Diceros bicornis minor: one gene and its partners. The protein of the gene in region 3 interacts with the protein of the main gene of each other region in a biochemical or structural test. Links are inferred from orthologs where the notes say so. Each region holds a gene or a part of one and is shown on either strand. Other genes may lie near its edges. The genes, in order: FBXO21, NR0B2 and EID1.

The links.
Region 1: of the proteins of EID1 (region 3) and FBXO21, one has a biochemical effect on the other in vitro, tested with the Homo sapiens proteins (2 studies listed by BioGRID, with this or other methods). The link is inferred for Diceros bicornis minor from reciprocal best matches to the Homo sapiens genes EID1 and FBXO21.
Region 2: the proteins of EID1 (region 3) and NR0B2 form a complex in vitro, tested with the Homo sapiens proteins (3 studies listed by BioGRID). The link is inferred for Diceros bicornis minor from reciprocal best matches to the Homo sapiens genes EID1 and NR0B2.

What each region holds. Positions count from the first base shown.
Region 1 is NC_080774.1:14,386,500-14,393,829, reverse strand, and holds the start of FBXO21 (F-box only protein 21), read left to right. Parts: upstream 1-4,298; coding exon 4,299-4,537; intron 4,538-5,408; coding exon 5,409-5,544; intron 5,545-7,330. UniProt on the Homo sapiens protein: Substrate-recognition component of the SCF (SKP1-CUL1-F-box protein)-type E3 ubiquitin ligase complex.
Region 2 is NC_080752.1:42,664,915-42,672,187, reverse strand, and holds NR0B2 (nuclear receptor subfamily 0 group B member 2), read left to right. Parts: upstream 1-4,686; coding exon 4,687-5,227; intron 5,228-6,143; coding exon 6,144-6,442; 3' UTR 6,443-6,680; downstream 6,681-7,273. UniProt on the Homo sapiens protein: Transcriptional regulator that acts as a negative regulator of receptor-dependent signaling pathways. Specifically inhibits transactivation of the nuclear receptor with which it interacts.
Region 3 is NC_080744.1:45,426,192-45,433,275, reverse strand, and holds EID1 (EP300-interacting inhibitor of differentiation 1), read right to left. Parts: upstream 2,414-7,084; 5' UTR 2,173-2,413; coding exon 1,597-2,172; 3' UTR 546-1,596; downstream 1-545. Other genes in the region: SHC4 (SHC-transforming protein 4), read left to right, coding at 6,772-6,825. UniProt on the Homo sapiens protein: Interacts with RB1 and EP300 and acts as a repressor of MYOD1 transactivation. Inhibits EP300 and CBP histone acetyltransferase activity.

The DNA of each region.
Region 1 (7,330 bases), on a different chromosome or scaffold from region 3:
CATCACCCTAAACAGAAACTCTGTACCCATTAGGCAATAACTCCCCACTCCCTCCTCCCTCCCAGCCCCTGGTAACCTCTCATCTCCATTCTGTCTCTATGAATTTGCCTATTCTAGATGTTTCACGTAAGTGGGATCATACAATATTCATCCTTTCGTGTCTGGTTTCTTTCACTTAGTGTAATGTTCCCAAGGTTTGTCCATGTTGCAGCGTGTATCAGTGCTCCATTTTTTTTTTATGGCTGAAGAACATTCCGTTGTGCGCGCATACTACATTTTACAAATCTTTTTAAAGGCTAAGTACGCCTCTTGCCACTATTACAACCCAGGAATGTTTTTCTTAGGGACCTGGGAACTATCTCTTTGAAATGTAAATATCAGGGAAGATAATGTCCCTATCTCCCTGTGACCATGGGAGTTTAACATGAGCACCTTGTTCCCAGCTGTAAGCACCTGCTTGTCGTAAAGATGAGAAGTTGTATTATTCTTTGAGATGAGGGCAGTTAGCTAGCACAATAGGTACCCCAATTACCGGGTGAGCTTAGGATGAACTAGGAAAGAATGCATGAACTAGGACAGGTGTGGTCAGGTCCTCTTACCTGAGGACAAGTTACCACTAATCTCGAGAGCACGTACGTGAGGCAGTGACTGGTGTATATAAAAAGGGTGGGATTTCTCTCTGTCTTTGTAATCTCATCAGCGGATTACCTGTGATGTGCATCACAGTCTGGTTTAACGCTTATTCAATAATAAAACTGTTCTCCATCTTTTCTAGAGTCACAGAGAGGATTTTCTGGATTGGCAAGCGATTTTAGTATCTTAGTCATCTTTGATCAGAAGACAGGAAGCAAGAAGGAGGGCCAGGATGTCACTGATAAGAAAGCAAGAGTTGTTCACAAGAATGACTTACCAATCGTCTGTGCAGTTGGGGGGGTCTACCTTCTGCCCGACTGGGTGGAAACTTGGTTTATCAAGGTCTGAGCATCATCAGGGCTGATTTTCACATTCTTAGGGCCAGGGTGGAAGCCAGGGGAACAGTTAGGAGCCACAGAGGGGGCATGGACTAGGGCAGTGGCTGAGGAGACTGAGAGAAAGACACAGATTTGAGAAAAATTAGGAATGATATTTTGGAAAAGAAAATGGCATCCCCGTTCCAAAAAAAAAAAAAAAGTTTCCCTGAAGAAACTGAGACACAGAGAACTTAACCTCTGTTGGGCATTTGAATATGGAGACTGCTTCCAAGCGCACTTAAGACAAAAATCTCAGCCCTTTCTCTCAGATCCTGTGGGGTCTGACAACAGTGAGGACATGCAGTGTTTGAAAGCACGGAATCTGGAGACGCCACCTGATTCCAGTTCGGAGCTGCCCAGCTGAGCCCTTCTCCATTTCCTGGCCCACAAAACCAAGAGCACAAAAACGAGGTTGTTTTAAGCCACTAAGTTTTGGGTTTATTTGTTATGCCGCAAGAGTAACTGATATATATGCATTGTTTCATTTAATAGGAAGATCTATCATTATCCCCATTTTATAGATGAGGAAACCGAGGCACAGAGAAGTCAAGATCTATTGGGTATTTGGATATGGATGGTGAGGGAGAGAGGTGCCAAGGATGGCAACAAGGTCCAGTTTTGCAGGAATGGATGGATGGGCAGCCTTTCCCAAGGCAGGAACCATCAAGAGAGGACAGGATAAGTGGGGGTGGGGGTGTGAGTTCACTCTTGGATAAGTTGAGTTTCAGGGCCCCAAAGGGAATGTCAGGGGAGCAGCTGGCTGAGTAAGCCTAGATCTCAGAGGAACAGGCTGGGCCAGAGAGGGAAATGTGGACATTTAAACTGGGTTTGGATCATCATTCCAGCTGTAGACAGGGGTGAGAAAGTGAAAGAACGGGGCCTGTGGCTGAGCCCCAAGATACCCCAACATGTACCATCTGGGGGAGATGGCAAAGGAGACTGAGAAGGACCTGCCCTAGGGGTAGGAGGAGAACCAGGAGAGGCTGGGGCCACAGAGGCCAAGGGGAACCAGCATTTCGAGGAGAAGCAAGTGGTAAATAGTGTCTGCAGGGGGAAGACAAGAACAAGGCCAGGAAACTTCCACTGAATTGAGAAGCGTGGCGGTGCAGACTCTCTCCTAGATCTACCAGACTCCAGCGGCTGCTCTAAACCTCTCTGTTTTAATGACTAGGAGCAGCAGCAGCAGTACCTCTGTCCCCGCCCCCCCATTCATATGTTGAAACCCTATCCCCCAGGACCTCAGAATGTGACCAGATTTGGAGACAGGGTCTTTAAAGAGGCCATTAAAGTAAAATGAGGTCATTAGAGTGAGCCCCAATGCAATATGACTGGTGTCCTTATAAGAATAGGAGATTAGGTCACAGACACACACACAGAAGGAAGACCATGTGAACACACACGGAGAAGAAAGCCATCTACAAGCCAAGGAGAGAGCCTGCAGAAGACCAACCCTGCCAACACCTTGCTCTTGACTTCTAGCCTCCAGAACTATGAAAAAATAAATTTCTGTTGTTTAAGCCACACAGTCTGTGCCATTTTGTTATGGCAGCCCTCGCAAACTAACATATGCAGTAACACACAAAAAACTATTGAGGTGAAATTCACATAACATAAAATTAAACCATTTAAAGTGATTCAGAGGCATTTAGTACATTCACAATGTTGTGCAACCACCACCTCTATCTAGTTCCAGACATTTCTATCACTCCAAAATAAAACCTGTTCCCTTTAAGCAGTTTCTCCCCATTTCTCCATAACACTGTTTTATTGAGTACTTTCTCTGTGCCAGGTACAGTTCTGTACACTTTACACAAATGTACTAATTCTAACACAGCCCAGGAGCCCAGCATTATTATTATTTTCTCCATTTTACTGACGAGAAACTGGACCTCAGAAAGGCCTGCGATCAACAGATAATCATTGAGAATCGGCTACGTGCCAGGCCTGGGCCAAGTAACTGGGCCTCTGGAGGTGAATCAAACACAGTCCTGATCCTGAAGTTGCTTCTGATCTAGTGGGAAAGACACAGGTTGAACAAATAGTTATAAATTAAGCAAATAGTTACAAGATTGCAAAATGTTGGGAAGGAGCCATATCTGGTGCTGGGGGCTGGGGTGAGGGAAGGGAGGGCATCTGGGGAGGTTAAGCTAAGGCCTGGAGGAAGAGGAGGAGCAGCTGGAAGGAGGGCATGCTGGCACAAAGCACATTCCAGGCAGTGGGAATAGTATACATGTGAGGGACAGAAGCACCAGGAAAGAGACCAGCCTGGCTGGGGCGTGGCTAGTGAGGGAGAAAATGGCCTCAAAGAGGCAAGGAGAGGCAGACAGGAGTCTTTCCCTTTGCAACAATGTTAGAGATTTCAGATTTATTTCTAAGGGCCATAGGGATCCATGGATGGCTTAACACCATCCATTGACAATAACTTTACTTGTTCAACTCTTTCAGGGCATTCTGATTTCCAAGTTGGGAGGACACTTTATTGCGCCTCCATGTACTGACAACAGATTGTTCTATACCTGTGTGTCCCCCTAATTGGACTTTGAGCTCCTGGGAGGCAAGGGCACCATCTCACTCACCTCTGTCCCCCCAGGGCAGACAGCACAGGGCTTGGCACTGAACTGGGCTTAAATATGTATATATAGAAGAGGCCCCACTCACACCTGTGTGGTAACTCCTGCTTTGAGGGTTCAGATCCAGGCTCTACCACTTGTTGTCTCTGTGACTTTGAACCAGTGACTTCCACCTTTATGAGCCTTGTTTTCCTTATCTGTAGAATGGTATAATTGTGGTACCTATCCTAGAGGACTCAAATGAGGAGTCCCTGAAGAACGTATGTAAAGTGCTTCGCACCGCACCCACTCAAGAATATTGTGTGTTGTTATTACAGTCAAGCAGAAGTCAAGCGGATCTGGATTAGAATCTAAGACAAGGGACTCTGAGCAAGTCTGTTCATCTTCCTGAGCCTCAGTTTCCCCATCTGTAACCTGGGGAGAGAAACAGTGCACCGGCTTCTTGGGAAGGTCCGAGGAGCTCATGCACAGGAAGCGCTCAGCCCACACGAGAAAGATGGATGCTACCCCGGCTCCCGGCCCACAGCGCAGTTCTTTTCCAAAACGCATTTCCTTCCCTTGGCGGCGGCGCAGTCCTGGAGCGCGACCCGGGAGGAGGGGGCGTGGCCACGGACGTGGGCGGGGCGATGTCGCGCCCGCCCCTCGGGCCGGTGGGCGGGGCGAAGCGGGGCGCCCCGGCGTGTGCGTGCGCGCGCGGCGGCCCAGGTACGCGGACAAGATGGCGGCGGCAGCGGGCGAGAGCGCGATGGACGTGGTGCCGGCGCTGGCGGAGGAGGCCGCGCCGGAGGCGGCGGGCCTCAGCTGCCTCGTCAACCTGCCGGGCGAGGTGCTGGAGTACATCCTGTGCAGCGGCTCGCTGACGGCCGCCGACATCGGCCGCGTCTCCAGCACCTGCCGGCGGCTGCGCGAGCTGTGCCAGAGTAGCGGGAAGGTGTGGAAGGAGCAGTTCCGGGTGAGGTGAGCCAGCGCCCCGCTGCCCGAGCCCCCGCTCTGCGCCCCCCGGGCCCGGGCCCGGCCGGCCGGCGCCGCTGCCCCTCCCCGCGCGAGGACCCCACCCCCGTCGCCCACCCCGGACCGCTTCCCGCGGACCGACAGACAAAGGCCTCCAGGCCGCCGGCCCCTCGGGTCCACGCCGCGCGGACCCTCCGGTGCCCAAATTGCGCATCGGGGGGCGCCCAGCCGCCGGGCCCTCCCTGAGGGATGACGACGGTAGTGCCACGGCTCACCCAGCCCGCGCGCTTCTTTTGTGCCCGACTCTGTGCTAGGATGTTTACATGGATCCGGTGATGCGCTGAGCCTCAGCCCTGGAGGCAGCGGGCGCAGCATCCCCGGGTTGTTGGCCGAGAGCACAGATTTCCGTGGGGGACCCGGCATAAAATCTGGCCCTGGCACACTCGCCGTATGACCTTGTGGGTAGCGGCTTCCCTTTTTTGAGCCTCGTTCGTCGACTTGGAACGGTGATCCTGAGACCCACCTTTGTGGTTATTAAACCAGAAGATGTGTAGGGAGCATTTGCACAGGGCCCGGCTCTTGGGAGGCGCGCAATAAATGTTAACTGTCATTGTCATCGCTATTACTGTTGCTACGACTGTCCCCATTTTATAGATGGGGAGTGGAGACGCAGCATTCCTTTTGCGACGCCAAGGTCACACCGTGAGCGAGTGCGTGCGTGCCGGATGGAGAGCTGAACTAGGTCCACCGCCGGGGGCCCTCTGACCACTAAACCGTACCGCTTTCCCTGTTTTCCAAGGCTGCCTTTGATTCGTGTCTGTCTGCCCGCCTGCCTTTGAGTCTCTCTGAAGCTGAGGGGGTGTTTCTCTCCTTGTAGGTGGCCTTCCCTTATGAAACACTACAGCCCCACCGACTACGTCAATTGGTTGGAGGAGTATAAAGTTCGGCAAAAAGCTGGGTTAGAAGCCCGGAAGATTGTAGCCTCCTTCTCAAAGAGGTTCTTTTCAGAGCACGTAAGGATCTGTTGATGTAGCTCTACGCTTCTGCCTGGTAGTGGTGTCTGCGTCTGGGTCTGGAGCGTTAGCTCATCCAGCGCTTTTTGATATCTCCCTTTTCAGTGCTCTCACAATCCCTTACTCACTTAGACGGCTGCAAGAGTCATTGTGTCCTTTTCCTCCTCTCCGACAACATGAAGCCATTTGTCCCTGCCAGCTTGAGTTTACTAAAGCCAGAGAGAGAATGGGGGTGGAAAGGGAGGCAGGGACCTGCAACACAATGTGAAGGGAATTCAGATCAGCGTTATTTCTTTGCAAGTGGGTTAAACGTATTTTTTGCAATCTCCACGTGATTTGGGGGATCATCAGTGATTGAACACTACAAATTTCACCCCGTTGTTTTCCCAGAACGTTTGACAAAGTTAATATGGTTCTTCTCTCTGGCTTTGCAAGTTTTAACCAGTAGTAAACTGCATTGTTTGTTAAGGTAACAGGATTAAAAGCTATCTGTAAATCAGAAGTATTACTCCCTCAATTAAAATGTTTTGCATTCATTATCCTGATAAGTTTGTTTTTTTAATATTGCTGAAATGCATGGGGTTTTTTTTGGTTTTTTTCCTTCCACAGAGTCTCTCACAGCAGTTTCTGTATCCGATCCTGATTCTCAACTTTTTGTAACTCTGGAAAATAGAAAAAATATTTTAAATTTGTTTCACATTAGGGATCTAGAAATAGAGCCAATCTGATGTATTTTACTATCCTGGTTTACTGAAGATAAATCTCTGTTTTCTAATTTTAATTACTATTACTTAACGGAATTCATACATTTGAAGTATTTTCCAGGCTTTTCAAGTTTTGAAAGGGAAAATTTGAACTTGGGACAAATTTGACCTTATTCCCCTATGGAGAATAAAACTAGATATTTCCTAGAGTGGTTCATTTCTATAAATAAATGTTTGTTAATGTTAGAAGGGACAAAATTACGTTCAACTTTGGATAAGCTGGCTAAAGCATTCATAATCACAGATTTTAAATACTGGTTAAATGTGTTTGTACCCACATATATTTGGGTGCTAAATATGTTTGATGCCCTTGGTCATGGGCTACTGGTTTGCAGCCTCTACTTCTAGTCCAGCTGGTTTTATGTGCATTTTTAACAGCCTGTGCCTTTGTCTAATAATGATGAATTGTTGTGTTTTTTCCTTAGCTCCCTCTTTCCCTGTACCACTGCCTAATTAGAAGTATGTCAAGGACTTTGAATGTAGCAAGAGTATACTTAAGATTGATCTGTGGGCGGGTGATTACTTTGGCTCAGGACCCTTGTATTCCTGTGTTCTCTGCGTGCACATAGGTTGATGTGAAATTTCCTGGCTACTTTCAAAAAGAAAAGTGGGAGAAGTAATAGAATTTTAAACCAAGGGGACCTAAAAGCCGATTGGTACCACCACCTCAATTTACAGAGGAGAAAACATGCCCAGTGGGTTGAATTGCCAAAAGCACTAGACTTCTCTCTCTGCCCTCCTCTCCTCGTGGAGTGCAGTGTAGACTGCACAAGATAGTTATTGTGAATTAGGAGATTTTGTATTTCTAGTTATTTTTTCAGAGCTATTTTTCTTCACATTAGAACTCTTGAGTTAGCAGTTTCAGAAATTCCAGTCTATGAAAATATAACTCATTTGCAACTAGCAAGATCTGAACAAATTGTTACTTTGCATGTTACTTTCTAACCATCCTGGGTGGTGCAAGATAGTGCACTTATTTCATTCCATGAAAATAAGCATCTTTGTTTGCAACTCAGTTTTGT
Region 2 (7,273 bases), on a different chromosome or scaffold from region 3:
CCCAGGATCCGAACCCGGGTCGCCAGCAGCGGTGCACGAGCACTTAACCGCTAAGCCACGGGGCTGGCCCTAGAATTTTATTTTTAAAAATCATTGACAGCTCTACTTCCTCCTCCTCCTGAAAATTTCAATCCTAAAACTATTAGCAGAACAAGGTACAAATATGCACCAGAAGAGAGAGGGAGCCACAGCAGCCCAGAGCAGAAGTTAGAGCTCCACCAGGGTGCGGAGGGCGTCCACACAGAGAAGCCACCTGGTGTTGGGTGACAGATCCCCAGCTGCGTGAAGAGGGCGTCCCCGAGGGGGAGGGGGCACCTGACACAGGTATCAGAGCCCAAGTGGGGTAGGGAGACATCTCACAGGGGAGGGGGCGACAGTGGAGATGGAAGATTAGTTACAAACGGTGGCTTTATCCAATAAGTAAAAAAATTAAGAATAATGGAAGCCAGATTTCTGAGTGTCGGAGAAGGGAGGTGTAAATACAGAAAGAGCGAAAACTAGAATGAACCTTGTTTTAGTGGATTAGAACTGCAGATAATGATCTGAACTCATGTTTTTTAGTATATGTATGAATAAATATAGAAATAAATATAAATGTGTGTGTGCGCGCGCGCGTGTGTGTGTGTGTCTGTACATTCCTTAGCTCTGGGACGGCCTAGGAGCAGTGACACCCTAATAGCAATGAGCAGATCTTGGTTTTTAAATATTCTAGTCCCCAGATTATGGTTTTTAAATACTCTTCTCCACTAGAAGATTGAATCAGAACTTCTTGGAGTACTGGTTGATTCCAGGGGCTTGAAAAGTGGTATCTTCTTATACCAGAAGACAAAGGATGTTCAAAGAATGATGGGGCATGTCAAAAAGACACAGACTCCGGCTTGAAGGGGCTCCCATTGGCCAAATCTGTGACAATTTTAGCATCAAAATAATGATAGTAACAGATTGCAAGCCACTGAATAAAATAGGAGACCCTGCGTTCCTAACTAAATACATACATACATACATTCAATGTATGAGGAGGAATATATAGATAGTTTTAAAATACATCCTCATAGGGCCGGCCTGTGGCTTAGCAGTTAAGTGCGCGCGCTCTGCTACTGGCGGCCCGGGTCCGGATCCTGGGTGCGCACTGACGCACCGCTTCTCCGGCCATGCTGAGGCCGCGTCCCACATACAGCAACTAGAAGGATGTGCAACTATGACATACAACTATCTACTGGGGCTTTGGGGGGCAAAAAAAAAAAAAGGAGGAGGATTGGCAATAGATGTTAGCTCTGGGCCGGTCTTCCTCAGCAAAAAGAGGAGGATTAGCATGGATGTTAGCTCAGGGCTGATCTTCCTCACAATAAATAAATAAATAAATAAATAAATAAATAAATAAATAAATAAATAAATAAAAATACCTCCTCATAAAATACTGATTCATTACAAAGAGGAAAAGATGAACTATAGTGGAGAAGCTTGGCAGCCATCACCTTAATCAAGTGACCAAAGTGATCAATGGGACAAATGGAAAAGTACGCTCCCTGATAGGATGTATCAAGAGGAACACAGTACCACTTCTGTGATATTCCTGCTAAAGATACATAGCCTGAGCAATCACAAGGAAGCCTCAGACAAACCCAAATTGAGAGCCATACTACAAAATAACAACTCTCCAGAAGTGCCAAGGTCGTGAAAGGCAAGAAAAGACCAAGGATACTTCCTGACTGATAAAGACTAAAGAGACATGATAAAGAAATGCAATGTGAGATTCTGGGCTGAGCCCCTCCACCACCACAATTTCACTGGAGCATTTGGTGAAACTTAAATGGGGTCTGAGATTAGATGTTAATTTCCTGATTTTTTTCCATGTTAATTTCCTGATGTCGATGGTTATGCACTATATATTGTGGTTATATAGGAGAATGTCCTTGTTTGTAGGAATTACACACTAAAGTATTTGGGGGTTATGGAGCATCAGGTTGGAAGTTTACTCGCAAATGGTTCAAGGTTAAAAAAGTTCTCTGTACTGTACTTGCAAACGTTGTTTGTGATGGTTTCAAAATAAATATCATTGACATGAGAAGAGGTGAACAAAGAGTGTGCAGCTAAAACACGTAGGTAAATATTGTCAGGCAATTGATCAGTAAAAGTACCTTGGTATTCTCCTGGGTTTGCAATGTTTGTGTTTTCTGTTGGCTTATTTTAGTTTGTAATTTGTAGAGATTTGTTTTTTCATTTTAATTTTTTTTATTTATCTATTTTTCCCCCCAAAGCCCCAGTAGATAGTTGTATGTCATAGTTGCACATCCTTCTAGTTGCTGTATGTGGGATGCGGCCTCAGCATGGCCGGAGAAGCGGTGCGTCAGTGCGCGCCCGGGATCCGAACCCCGGCCGCCAGCAGCGGAGCACGCGCACTTAACCGCTAAGCCACGGGGCCAGCCCATGTTTTTTCATTTTAAATATTCACTTTCATACCTGATTTTCTATTCTTAAAGAAGGCCCTTCAGATTGTATAAGCTTCATACCCCATAAAACCAATATCCACTATTGGCCTTTCTTACCACCCTTTTAAAGATGAGGAAACTGGGCCAGCCCCGTGCCTTAGCGGTTAAGTGCACGTGCTCCACTGCTGGTGGCCCGGGTTCGGATCCCGGGCGCGCACGGACGCACCGCTTCTCCGGCCATGCTGAGGCCGTGTCCCACATACAGCAACTAGAAGGATGTGCAGCTATGACGTACAACTATCTACTGGGGCTTTGGGGGAAAAAATAAATAAATAAAATTAAAAAAAAAATTAAAGGTGAGGAAACTGAGGCATCGAAATATAAAGTGACTTGCTCAAGGTCTCTCATCTAAGTGATGAAGCAGGATTTGGACCCAGGCGGTCTGACTCCAGAGTCTCCTTTGAGGGGACACTGTGAGGATTCAGTGAGATAAAAGGACGTGAAAGGGGGGCTGGCCCGGTGGCGCAAGTGGTTGGGTGCGCACGTTCCGCTGCGGCGGCCCGGGGTTCGCCGGTTCGGATCCCGGGTGCGCACCGACGCACCGCTTGTTAAGCCATGCTGTGGCAGCGTCCCATATAAAGTAGAGGAAGATGGGCATGGATGTTAGCCCAGGGCCAGTCTTCCTCAGTAAAAAAGAGGAGGATTGGCATTGGATGTTAGCTCAGGGCTGGTTCTCCTCACAAAAAAAAAAAAAAAAAAAAAAAAAAAAAAAGGACGTGAAAGGAACTTTGTAAATGTAAGGATTAAGATTATTGACAATCAAATGAAAGATGCATGCCCATTTGTCTGCTGGGGCTTATTTCCTTAGGCAGAGGGAAGCGGGGGCAAAGCCCTCCTACTGTATACCAGAAACTGCTTGGAATTTGACATCCAGGACCTCACTTTGTCCTCACAGCAGCCCTGCAGGCAGACAGACATTATTGTTCCAGGTGAAGCTCCTGAGGCCCACAGAGATTTGGGGATCAGCCCAAGGTCACACAACTAGAAAGTGATAGAGCCAGGAGCAGATGCCAGGGATGGTGATGGCTGCCCAATGGTGTGGTAGCAGAAGGCTTGCCAGGCTGGGCTTGCCAAGGTCCACAGATATGACACAGCCGAGGACCTTCCCACCCGCTTTCATAATCCACGCCCCACCGTCTGAGACAGATGCCCAGGACAGAGGAGTCATGTGGCTGGCGGCAGAGCAACGTTTCTACTCAGATTATAAGTGGGCGGCAGCAAGGTGGGGGCCCAGGTAGTCACCAGCTCTGGGAAACCCAGGCCACACAGCTCTGGCTACACAATTGGGCCAGTGGATCCGGAGGAACAAGCAAAGACTTTGGAGTCAGATAGATCTGGGTTCTGTCTCTTTTTAGTGGCGTGACTTTGGGCAAGTCACTTCACCTCTTTAAGTCTCAAAAAGTAAGACTCCTGCCTCATAGGGAAGCTCTGAATATTAGAGTGGAAAAATACCTGGCACATAGTGGGTGCTTAATAAACAGCAGCCATATTGTATTATCATTCTGGGATGGCAGGAGCTCTAGGAATCCAGACTGGAGAGAGAGTTCTTAAGGACCTTATTTCTGCAGGGCCCCTCAAACTGGAGTCAGTCCACTCCTAGACTGCACAGTAGGCAAAGTCCTCTCAGCCTCCTGGGGTCTTGGCTCCCTTCCCTGCAGCCTGTTCCTTACCAACAACAGCAGCAGGGCCCCAAGGTTAGGCAAATAAGCCAGCGATAAGGTACTTCCAGGTTGGGCCTTGTGTTCAAGGCTTGTCCAGCTCGGGCTGGCTTCCCGGTTTAGCGAGAGTCTCACAGGCACCAATAGGGACACTTGCCATGGCCACCTGCTGATCGTGCACCTGAGGCCTTGGTGCCCTGGTACAGCCTGGGTTAATGACCCTGTTTATCCGCTTGAGTCATCCGATAAGGGGCAGCCAGGACAACGGGCAGGTGGCCCCATGCCCTGCACCGGCCACTTCATTGACTAAAGCAATATCAGGGCCACGTGGAGCTCCCAAGGCCCCCCCTGTCCCCTGCCACTTCCCCACTAGTCCTGCCAGGGTCAGTGTGTGTTTCTTTTTTTTTCAATGAACATGACTTCTGGAGTCAAGGTTGTTGGGCTGTTCCCTCCTCCCCACCATTGGAGATATAAATAGCACCCACAGCACAGAGCAGAGGGCGGGAGAGCTGGGAGGAAGGAGGAGCAGAGCCTCAACCATGAGCTCCAGCCAGCCAGGGACCTGCCCATGCCAGGGTGCTGCAGGCCGCCCAGCCATTCTATATGCACTTCTGAGCCCCAGCCTCAGGGCCAGGCCCTCTGTGGCCCCAGCCCGTGGCCACTGCCTGTGCAGGCAGCACCGGCCTGTCCAGCTGTGTGCTCCCAATCGCACCTGCCAGGAGGCCTTGGATGTTCTGGCCAAGACAGTGGTCTTCCTCAGGAACCTGCCATCCTTCTGCCAGCTGCACCCCCAGGATCAGCGGCGGCTGCTGCGGGGCTGCTGGGGCCCTCTCTTCCTGCTTGGGTTGGCCCAAGACACTGTGACCTTCGAGGTGGCTGAAGCCCCGGTTCCCAGTATACTCAAGAAGATCCTGCTGGAGGAGCCCAACAGGAGTGCAGGCAGTGCCCAGCCGCCTGATCGGCCCCAGCCCTCTCTGGCTGCAGTGCAGTGGCTTCAGTATTGCCTGGAGTCCTTCTGGAGCCTGGAGCTGGGCCCCAAGGAATATGCCTACCTGAAAGGGACCATCCTCTTCAACCCTGGTGAGCTCCTAGGCACTCCTGGATGGGGGCTAAGGCTGGAAGGGAGCAGGGCCCAGCCAGGGAAGGCAACTTCTAAGGGCTTGACATCTGTTATCTCTTTGAGTCCTCATTATCACCAAATAGTTATCTCACAAAAGAGGCTCAGAGAGGCTAAGTGACTTGCTAAAAGTCACACAGCCAGGTGGGGGCAGAGCAGGGATGGGAACTCAGGTCTATTCCAGAGACTTGCTCTTGCCACTCTGCCCAAGAAACATGCCCTGACCCTCAGGGAAGGTGGGAGTGGGGGAGGGGAGGGTGGACAGACACAGCTGTGCCTCAGTCACAGGTAAAACTCTGTAGTTTCAGAAAGACCACGTAGAGAAGAGGAATGAAGACGAGGGGGTGTGGGGAGGAGAGGGAAGAGTCAACAGATAAAGGTAGTGTTCTTTGTAATCTGGAGAGCTTCTAGACGAGAATTCTTCATCAAAGGGCCCTCACAGAATGTGTAAACTAAAGTAATTAATTATAATAATTATACTCATATAACAGCTAATACTCATATAACACTTACCATATGTTAGGTCCAGTTCTAAGGGTTTTACATATACTAGCTCATTTAAACCTCATAACAAGCCTAGGAGATTGGTACTATTATTATCCCCATTTTACAGATGAGGAAACTGAGGTACAGAGATTAAGTAACTTGCCCAAGGTTACACAGCATGGAATTCAAACCCAGGCAGCCTGGCTCTTAACCATTACTCTATACTGCCTCTCCATAAATGGATGGATGAATAAAATGATAAATAAATAAATGGATGAGGTAGTAATGGGGCCTCAAAGGCCGAGCTGGTGGCCTCAGGTCTTGGGCCAGCCTTGCCCTGTGGTGTCTGGGAGTGGGGTGCTCACCAGCCCTCTTCACCTTCTCTGCCCGCAGACGTGCCAGGCCTCCACGCCACCTCCCACGTCGGGCACCTGCAGCAGGAGGCTCATCAGGCGTTGTGTGAGGTCCTGGAGCCCAGGTGCCCAGCAGGCCAAGGCCGCCTGGCCCGTGTCCTCCTCACAGCCTCCAGCCTCAAGTCCATTCCGCCCAGCCTGCTTGGGGACCTCTTCTTTCGCCCTGTCATTGGAGACATTGACATAGCTGGCCTCCTCGAGGACATGCTTTTGCTGAGCCAACCTGCTCCAGCCCAAGCAGAGATCAGGTGTAGGGTGTGCAGAGGCTGGCAGCACTGATTTGGCCTGGCTGCCTGTCCCCAGGGGTGACCCAGTGCTCCCAGAGGATGCAAACCTGTACAGACAGCACTTGGCTCCTGAAGAGCAAGCTGGCCCTGGCCCAGCCACACCCCATGTTGGCCTTCCTTGGTTTGGACACTGCTCCAGCTGTCTGGCCGGCCCTTGGTGGTCCCAGAGCCTCTGGGCCAAAACTCCTGTCCCCTCCTGGGATGGGGATGAAAGCTTAGTCTGCTCATTGGGCCAGGAGTCCTACTGACTTTGTACAGAAACGACTTAAGTTATTGGTTTTTGTAATAAAAGGTGTGACAAACTTGGAGCTGACACTGTAGTTTGTCCCTGAGGAAGGAACCATCTCATCGCCAGCACCCACCCTGCCCCTATCAGAGGGAGCCCAAGAGGAAGGAACCATAAGGGGTGCAGGAGCCAGGCCTCAGGGAACTGGGATATTAATTTTTCAGGATGGAATGACGATTTCATTTCTGGAGATGAGATTTATTTTGCATGGGTCTGAATCCAGGGGATAGTATCAGTTCAGGACCCCCTCACCTCCTTGCCTTTATCTTTGGGGGGAGAGGGTATCTCTCCCTCTCCCCAAATCCCCCACGGACCTCTCTCTCAGCTCCTGCCCCAGGCTCCCTCTCACCTCAGTGAGAGTCAGGTCACAGCCAACGAGGAAAATGAAGCTGCCCATTCCAAAATTGAAACAGACAAGGTCATTGGAATTTCTGCAGTTTGGAATCATTCACTTCCCCCATTCCTGCAGCCCACAGAAGAGGGTGGTCCATTGTTCTCTGATCCGGAGGGGGCAAGGGACCCAGTGCTGGCCTGGCA
Region 3 (7,084 bases):
CTGTCTAATCTTTCCCCTATCTCTCTCTCCTTCTCCCCACCAAGCTAGTGTTTGATTATGATCATCCTTGTCATTTCTGTATTTTACAGAAAAGAAACTCTCTCCCTACAAGACAGGATGACCGTTAACATAAATAAGGCTGAGCTGTCTTGTTGTATTGGATGTGGCCTTTACTACCATAACGAAGCAGGCACATCTGATACCTTTTGATTAATCATGATAAGACCCACTGATATACTCAGTTTTATTGGGCACAGCCCTCTGACATGATTCCTCTTCTCACAGAACTTCAGCATCTTAAAAAAATAACTACGGCAACATGCTCATTGATAGGGCAGGCTTTCCCAGGTTGGTAAATTCTCTTACAGGAATTCATTAAGTTTAATTTCCACAAATTAATCTACAGTAGGTATTTGAAGCTCGAGCACTTTCCCTTATAAAGTGGTTAAATTTATATCATAAAGTGGTTGCAATACAATAAAATAGTATAATCCAATATAAAGCATTAGAGAAAGTATGTATGCAATGTTATTAGCCAAACAAAATACACAGAACAAGAAATTTTATTATCTTGAATGCTGGTGCATAACCAATAACAAGCTTATTTAGAGGAGGAGACAGAGGGAAACTTCAAATACTGAGGTGGATTTCCAGTCAGGTTTAAAACTTTTAAAGGTTGACAGCATAATTGTTCAGGTCTTTTTTAGATGTAGGGCTTTTCTTTTACTTGACAATTTTCACTTAACAGTTCTTAATTATGAAGTTCAACCCAAGTCTTTTGCCTGTACAGTTAAATGAAAAACAGAGAGCAAGTAAAACAGAAAATTTCTCTAGTATAGAAGGGTGTTAGAAATAGTTTGTTTTCTTTGTACTTGCACATACATTTTAAAGTCTAAATCTGAAACTTTATTAACATCTTAATTTTTGACTTTTAAAAATGGTTAAGACAATGAATTTTCTTGAATTATAGATCATAGTAGCTTTATAAATGATCGAGATATATGTACAAACAAAATTTCAGATGTTCTTGGAAACACATTTTAAGATATAGCACACGTGATACATATTTCTTTTTGGGATACTGAAGAATACTCAATTTATCTTCCACTAAAAATTTAGCCTTTGATAATTGTGGCTTGGACAGATCACAAAGTGGAATCTTCAAAGTTTTCTCAATAGGCTTTCAGTCCAAATAACTCAAACTCATCTTGTGTCCTACGTTGGATATATCAGTGGGCTCTTGTGCTGGCAGTTTGTCTTGGTCATGACTTATTCTTGCAAAACCATCCCTTACAGTGAAATATGAAAGATATTTTCCCCAATGCAAGGAAAATACTCTGGATCAGCAACAAAGTCAAAGCCATAGGTGTTTTTCAGGACATTCTTGAAAACAGGTTTTAACAGTCCTAAGATTCTTCAACAATTTTCTTCCTTTTTCGCAACTGTACAGTCACTGTCCTATTCTATTCTGCAAAACAAGACTTTTTTTGAAGATCAAGTTTTTCATTGGCATGGAACTATCTGGAATGAACCCAAGAGACAGTGGAATGTTGGGTCTCTCCTCAAGTAGCTTCCTCCTCTTTTAACAGCATTTAACTACTCTCTATCGATAATCTCATCACAGCCGAGTTCTTCGGTCAGACGATTGACAACCATAAGTGAAAAAAGCTCTTCGATAAAAGCCAACTGATCAAACGGGGTCTTCTCATAATGCATCTGAAACCCGCCATCCAGGGCTGCTTCTCTTGCTCTGGATGTTCTCAGAAACATCTTGTTGGCTTCTTCGAGGGCCGCAGATACTCTGTAACCTGCACCGCTCAGCTGCTCCTCTTCCGGATAGTCGTAGTCGTCCTCCCAGTCGTCAAATTCCTCGCCCTCGTCCTCGCTCTCGAAGTCGGGGCCCGCGACCTGGCCCGGCTGCTCCCCGGGGCTGGGCCGGTTAGCAAGGCCGCGCTCCCCCTCCGGCCCCGCCATTGGCTGGGCCGCCTCCTCCTCCATCGGGCCTTCCTCCTCGAGCTGCGGCGGGGCCCCGGGGCGGGCGGGGTTCGGGGACGGCTCCCGGCTCCCGCCGCCTACCTCCATCTGCGGAAGGTCACCCTCGCCAGGCATCACATCCATCTGCAGGTCATTGCTCTCTTCATACAGCTCGGACAGCTCGTTCATTTCCGACATCGTACCAGCAGCTCAACCTCTCGCACAGCGTTTTCAGCAAGATCGGAGCTACGCGGCCGCGCGGCTGTGCGCGTGCGCTAACGCCGTGCGCTTGCGTAACCTCGTGCGTCTGCGCGACCCCCGCTTGGGGGATCCCGCCTCCCGCTTGGCGCCCTGATCTGGCGGGAGCTGGTGGCTGCTCTGCAGGGGGCGTCAGCGTGGCTCGGTGGTCTGGGTATCCCTTGTGTCGAACGTCATGCCTAGAGACTGTAAATACTAGCCCGTTGCTTAGTCTCCGCCTCACTTAACCGTTCTGCTGATGCTGTAAACTTGAAGATACTCTACACAGCCTTTGTAACGACGCTTACCCAGCGTCTTCCTGCTCCTCCCCCCTTCCTCCCCCCGCCCTCCTCCTCTTCCCCCCGCTCCAGGCAATCGCATCTGCTCCAAGGTTTTCACTACCTGTTATCTATCTAGGAGCTAATGACTTACAAATCCACACCTCCAAATCACACAGTGTTCTCAACCACAGATCGACATGTTAAGAACTGATCCATTCACCTCTTCTATTTTCCTCATTAAAAAAAAGTTAAATTCACACATAAGCATATTATCCGTGTACGTTTTAAAGAAAATTATAGTGAAGAGATACGGGGTCCCATTTCTTTTTGCAGGAGGTAACTTTCTGCTGTTACCGATTTGGTGTGTATTCTTCAAATCCTGTTTCTTTGCATTTACATAGATTTTTATGAATTCGTGTAAAAAGCTTATTTTGTGTGTGTGTGTTTTTACGTCTCATAACTGTCTTCAAGTTACAAAACAAAAACCCCTCAGCAATATCTTGAAGATTTAGCTTTGTTGGTATACAAAGATATATATTTTTTCATAGCGTTCCATTTGTATAGCTGTGGCATAGTTGACCTAACTATGCACAAATAGTTTTCAATTTTTTGATACTATAAACTATAGGTAAATGAACATCCACCAATGTTTCTCTAGACTAAATACCCAAAAGTGGAAAGGTGGAATCGTAGGGTATGCATACTTTAGTTTTAATAAATACTGTCAAATTGCTCTCCAAAGTTGCTGTACAAATTTAAGCTCTAGTCAGCGGTGTCTGAGAAGATCCATACCCTTGCCACACATGCTTTTGTTGAACTTTAACAAATTTATCAACTTAATGGTATCTTGTTTTGTTTTCCATAGCCTCGATTTCTTGGAGATTGATTATCTTTCAATATGTTTATCAAACATTTGTATTACTTATTCTGAAAATTATTGGTCTTATTTGAGTTTCTTCTTATTGATTTGTAGGAATCCTCATAAACTCTTTATATGAATACTTTTTACATGTTGCAAATATATTCTGCCTGCCTGTTGTTTGTCCTGTTTCAAAGGGTCTTTTCTTATACAAAAGTTTTAAAATGAGTTTTGATGTAATAAAATTTAAGGTTTTTTTTTCTGTATGTCTTTTTCTTTCTGTTAAGATGGATTTTTCCTGCCTCAGAGATCACAAGCATAATCTTTTATTTTCTAATGTTTTTGTAGATCTTTGTTTCTGTCTTTGTAGATCTATATTCTATCTTTGTCTTCTAATATATTTTTAGATCTTTATGAATCAAACATTTATTTATATAAGTAGTATGAGGACAGAATTTGTTTGGCCAACCCGTGGCGTAGAAGTTAAATGCGTGTGCTCTGCTGGTTTCGGATTCCGGGCGCACACCCACAAACCCCTTGTCAGGCCATGCTGTGGCGGTGTCCCACATAAAGTGGAGGAAGATCGGGTGGGATGTTAGCTCAGGGCCAGTCTTCCTCAGCAAAATAAAAGAGGAGGATTGGCATGGATGTTAGCTCAGGGCTGATCTTCCTCACACACACACACACAAAAGACAGAATTTGTTTATATATTTTTTCCATATATATAGCTAATTCAGCCAACTCCACTAATTTAATCATTTGTCTTTTTGTCTGCTGTTTGGTGCCACACTTATCATAGACTAAAAGTCCATGAATATGTGAGTCTGTTTTTATTATTTATTTATTTTTTATAATTTTATTTATTTTTTTCCCCCAAAGCCCCAGTATATAGTTGTATGTCATAGCTACACATCCTTCTAGTTGCTGTATGTGGGACACGGCCTCAGCATGGGTGGAGAAGCGGTGCGTCGGTGCGCACCCGGGATCCAAACCCGGGTCGCCAGCAGCGGAGCGCATGCACTTAACCGCTAAGCCACGGGGCCAGCCCTGAGTCTGTTTTCAGACTTTGTATTCTAATGAATTTCTGTAGTTTTAGAATATGCTTGATGATAAGGAAAATCTCGTCTCTTTGTTCTTTAAAAAATTGTCTTAGCTCTTCTTAGACATTTATTTTTCCATGTGAATTTTATTTTATTTTTTAATTTTATTTATATATTTTTTCCCCCAAAGCCCCAGTAGATAGTTGTATGTCATAGTTGCACATCCTTCTAGTTGCTATATGTGGGACGCGGCCTCAGCATGGCCAGAGAAGCAGTGCATCTGCGCGCGCCTGGGATCCGAACCCCGGCTGCCAGCAGCGGAGCGCGCGCACTTAACCGCTAAGCCACGGGGCCGGCCCTCATATGAATTTTAGAAACAACTTGAATATGTCTTTATATGTCATGCTATCTGATAAGGAAAAATCTTGTCCCTTTTTTCTTTAAAAAATGGCTTTATCTCTTTTTGCACATTTATTCTCCCATGTGAATTTTAGAAGCAGCATGAAAAGTTCCCTGAGTGACATTGGTGGAATTTTTGTTGGAATTGCACAGAATTTATAGATTAACTTGGGGGAGAATTGACATCTTTACAATATTGTCTTCTCATCCATGAAGGTGATACATATCTTTTTACTTGTTCAAGTCTTAATTATATCCTTGAGTGAAGTTTTCCAAAAAGCCTTACACAATTTTTATTAGTTTTACATGTAGGTGCTCTTATAAAATGTATCTTCCCCACCCACCCCCTGAATACAGTCTCTGTTGGCTTTTGCTGATATGTGCAAATGACATTGATCTTTGTATATTGATTTTGCTTTTAGTAATTATTTTGAACTGAAATATGAATTTAGAAAACATAAATATAGAAAAGTGCACAAATCATAAGTGTACAGCTTGATTATCGCAAAATTAACGTATTTGTTTAACCACTACGCAGATCAAGAAACACCATTTGCAGGATCCCGGAAAACCACCTGTGGTCTCTTCCTTTGCCCCAGAAGTCACCACTATTCTGACTTCAAACAGAATAAAATAATTTAAACCATGCAGTATAATTCTTCGTGTCTGGCTTCTTTTGCCCAAGATATATGTTGTTGTGTGTGGTAGTCCATGAGTTGAATATCACAATGGTCATCATTGGGATTGTTTCCAGTTGGGGCTATTATGAACAAGGCAGCGATTATCTTTCTTTAGAATATCTTTTGGTGCACATATTTACAGGATTCTGTTGGACATACATCTAAGAGTAGAATTGCTTGGTCCTCTTATATAAGCAGCTGTAGTAGATTCTGAAGACAGGATTAGCTAATAGGTGCACAGTTGGGGTTTTAATGAAACTTCAAAACAGTATGACAAATACATCTCTGCAAACGGGCCGTTACACTGGGGCTTCCAAATAGAATCTCAGGTAAAAAAGACAATCTTCTTGGCTAGCTAATGCAGTTCTCTTGGATAGTCTTACTTCGTACTGAAAGTCTTACTGTTAGTGCCTTAGTCAGGATACTTTTTTTTTTTTAAACATTTTTTTTCTTTCTTTCTTTTTTTTTGTGAGGAAGATCAGCTCTGAGCTAATATCCATGCCAATCCTCCTCTTTTTGCTGAGGAAGACTGGCCCTGGGCTAACATCTGTGGCTATCTTCCTCCACTTTATAAGGGACTCAGCCACAGCATGACCTGACAAGTGGTGCATCGGTGCATGCCCGGGTTCTGAACCCAGGTCGCCAGCAGCGGAGCGCACGCACTTAACCGCTACGCCATGAGGCCAGCCCAGTCAGGAGACTTTTGGTGGTGAATCACTGAAACCCAATTCAAACTAACTTATATAAACATAAATAAAATTTAAAAATACATAAAAAGATAAAGGAAGGGGGTAAATGTATTGGTTGAAGTGATGAAACAAATGTTACCACTAGACTTTTTCCCGTTTTTAACTCTCAGTTCTGATTTTCTCCAGAGAGAAAACTTCCTTTTCCTGCAGGCTTTTCCCTCATGGCAGCACAAGATGGCTCCCAGAAGCTTTGGGTGTACACAGTCCTTAATGGCGGAGAGAGATGCATTCTCTCTTATTATCCACCTCAGTTCCAACCCAAAGACATTGATTGGCTTTGCTGTATCCAGAGGGATGGTGTTTTCTGATTGGCAAGGCCTGGATCGTGTATCCACCTGCAAGGAGAATGGCAGTGAAAGCGACATGTCAAACCCACCTGAACCTCCTGGTCTAAATGAGATTATTATAGAATGTGGTGGAGTGGCTTCCAAAGGGATGCTAAGCAGGCAAAACCAAAACAAACACATGTATGTCCATTACTGTTAGATTGTATATGACTAGGAGTAATTAATTTATAACATCATACATGTTTAATTTGTTTATGTTTTCCAGATTATTGCAAATCATCATATGCAGTCTATTTCATTTGCCTCTGGAGGGGATCCTGTAAGTATGGATTCATAAAGCTTCTTTTTATAAGAGTTAACTTCCATGTAAAGCATATTTGCCACTACATGTCTTTTTCAAATATCTTAGTACAATTTGTGAATAGCTACATGCAGCAGGTAATAAAAAATTTGGTTTTGAAAAAATATTTCCTGTCACTGATTTTAAAAATATTTGGATTAGTAGATGAGCTAATAATACTCCATTGTGTTATTAGCCATGGAGGTATCATCTGAGAAGCTTCTTGTAGATAACATCC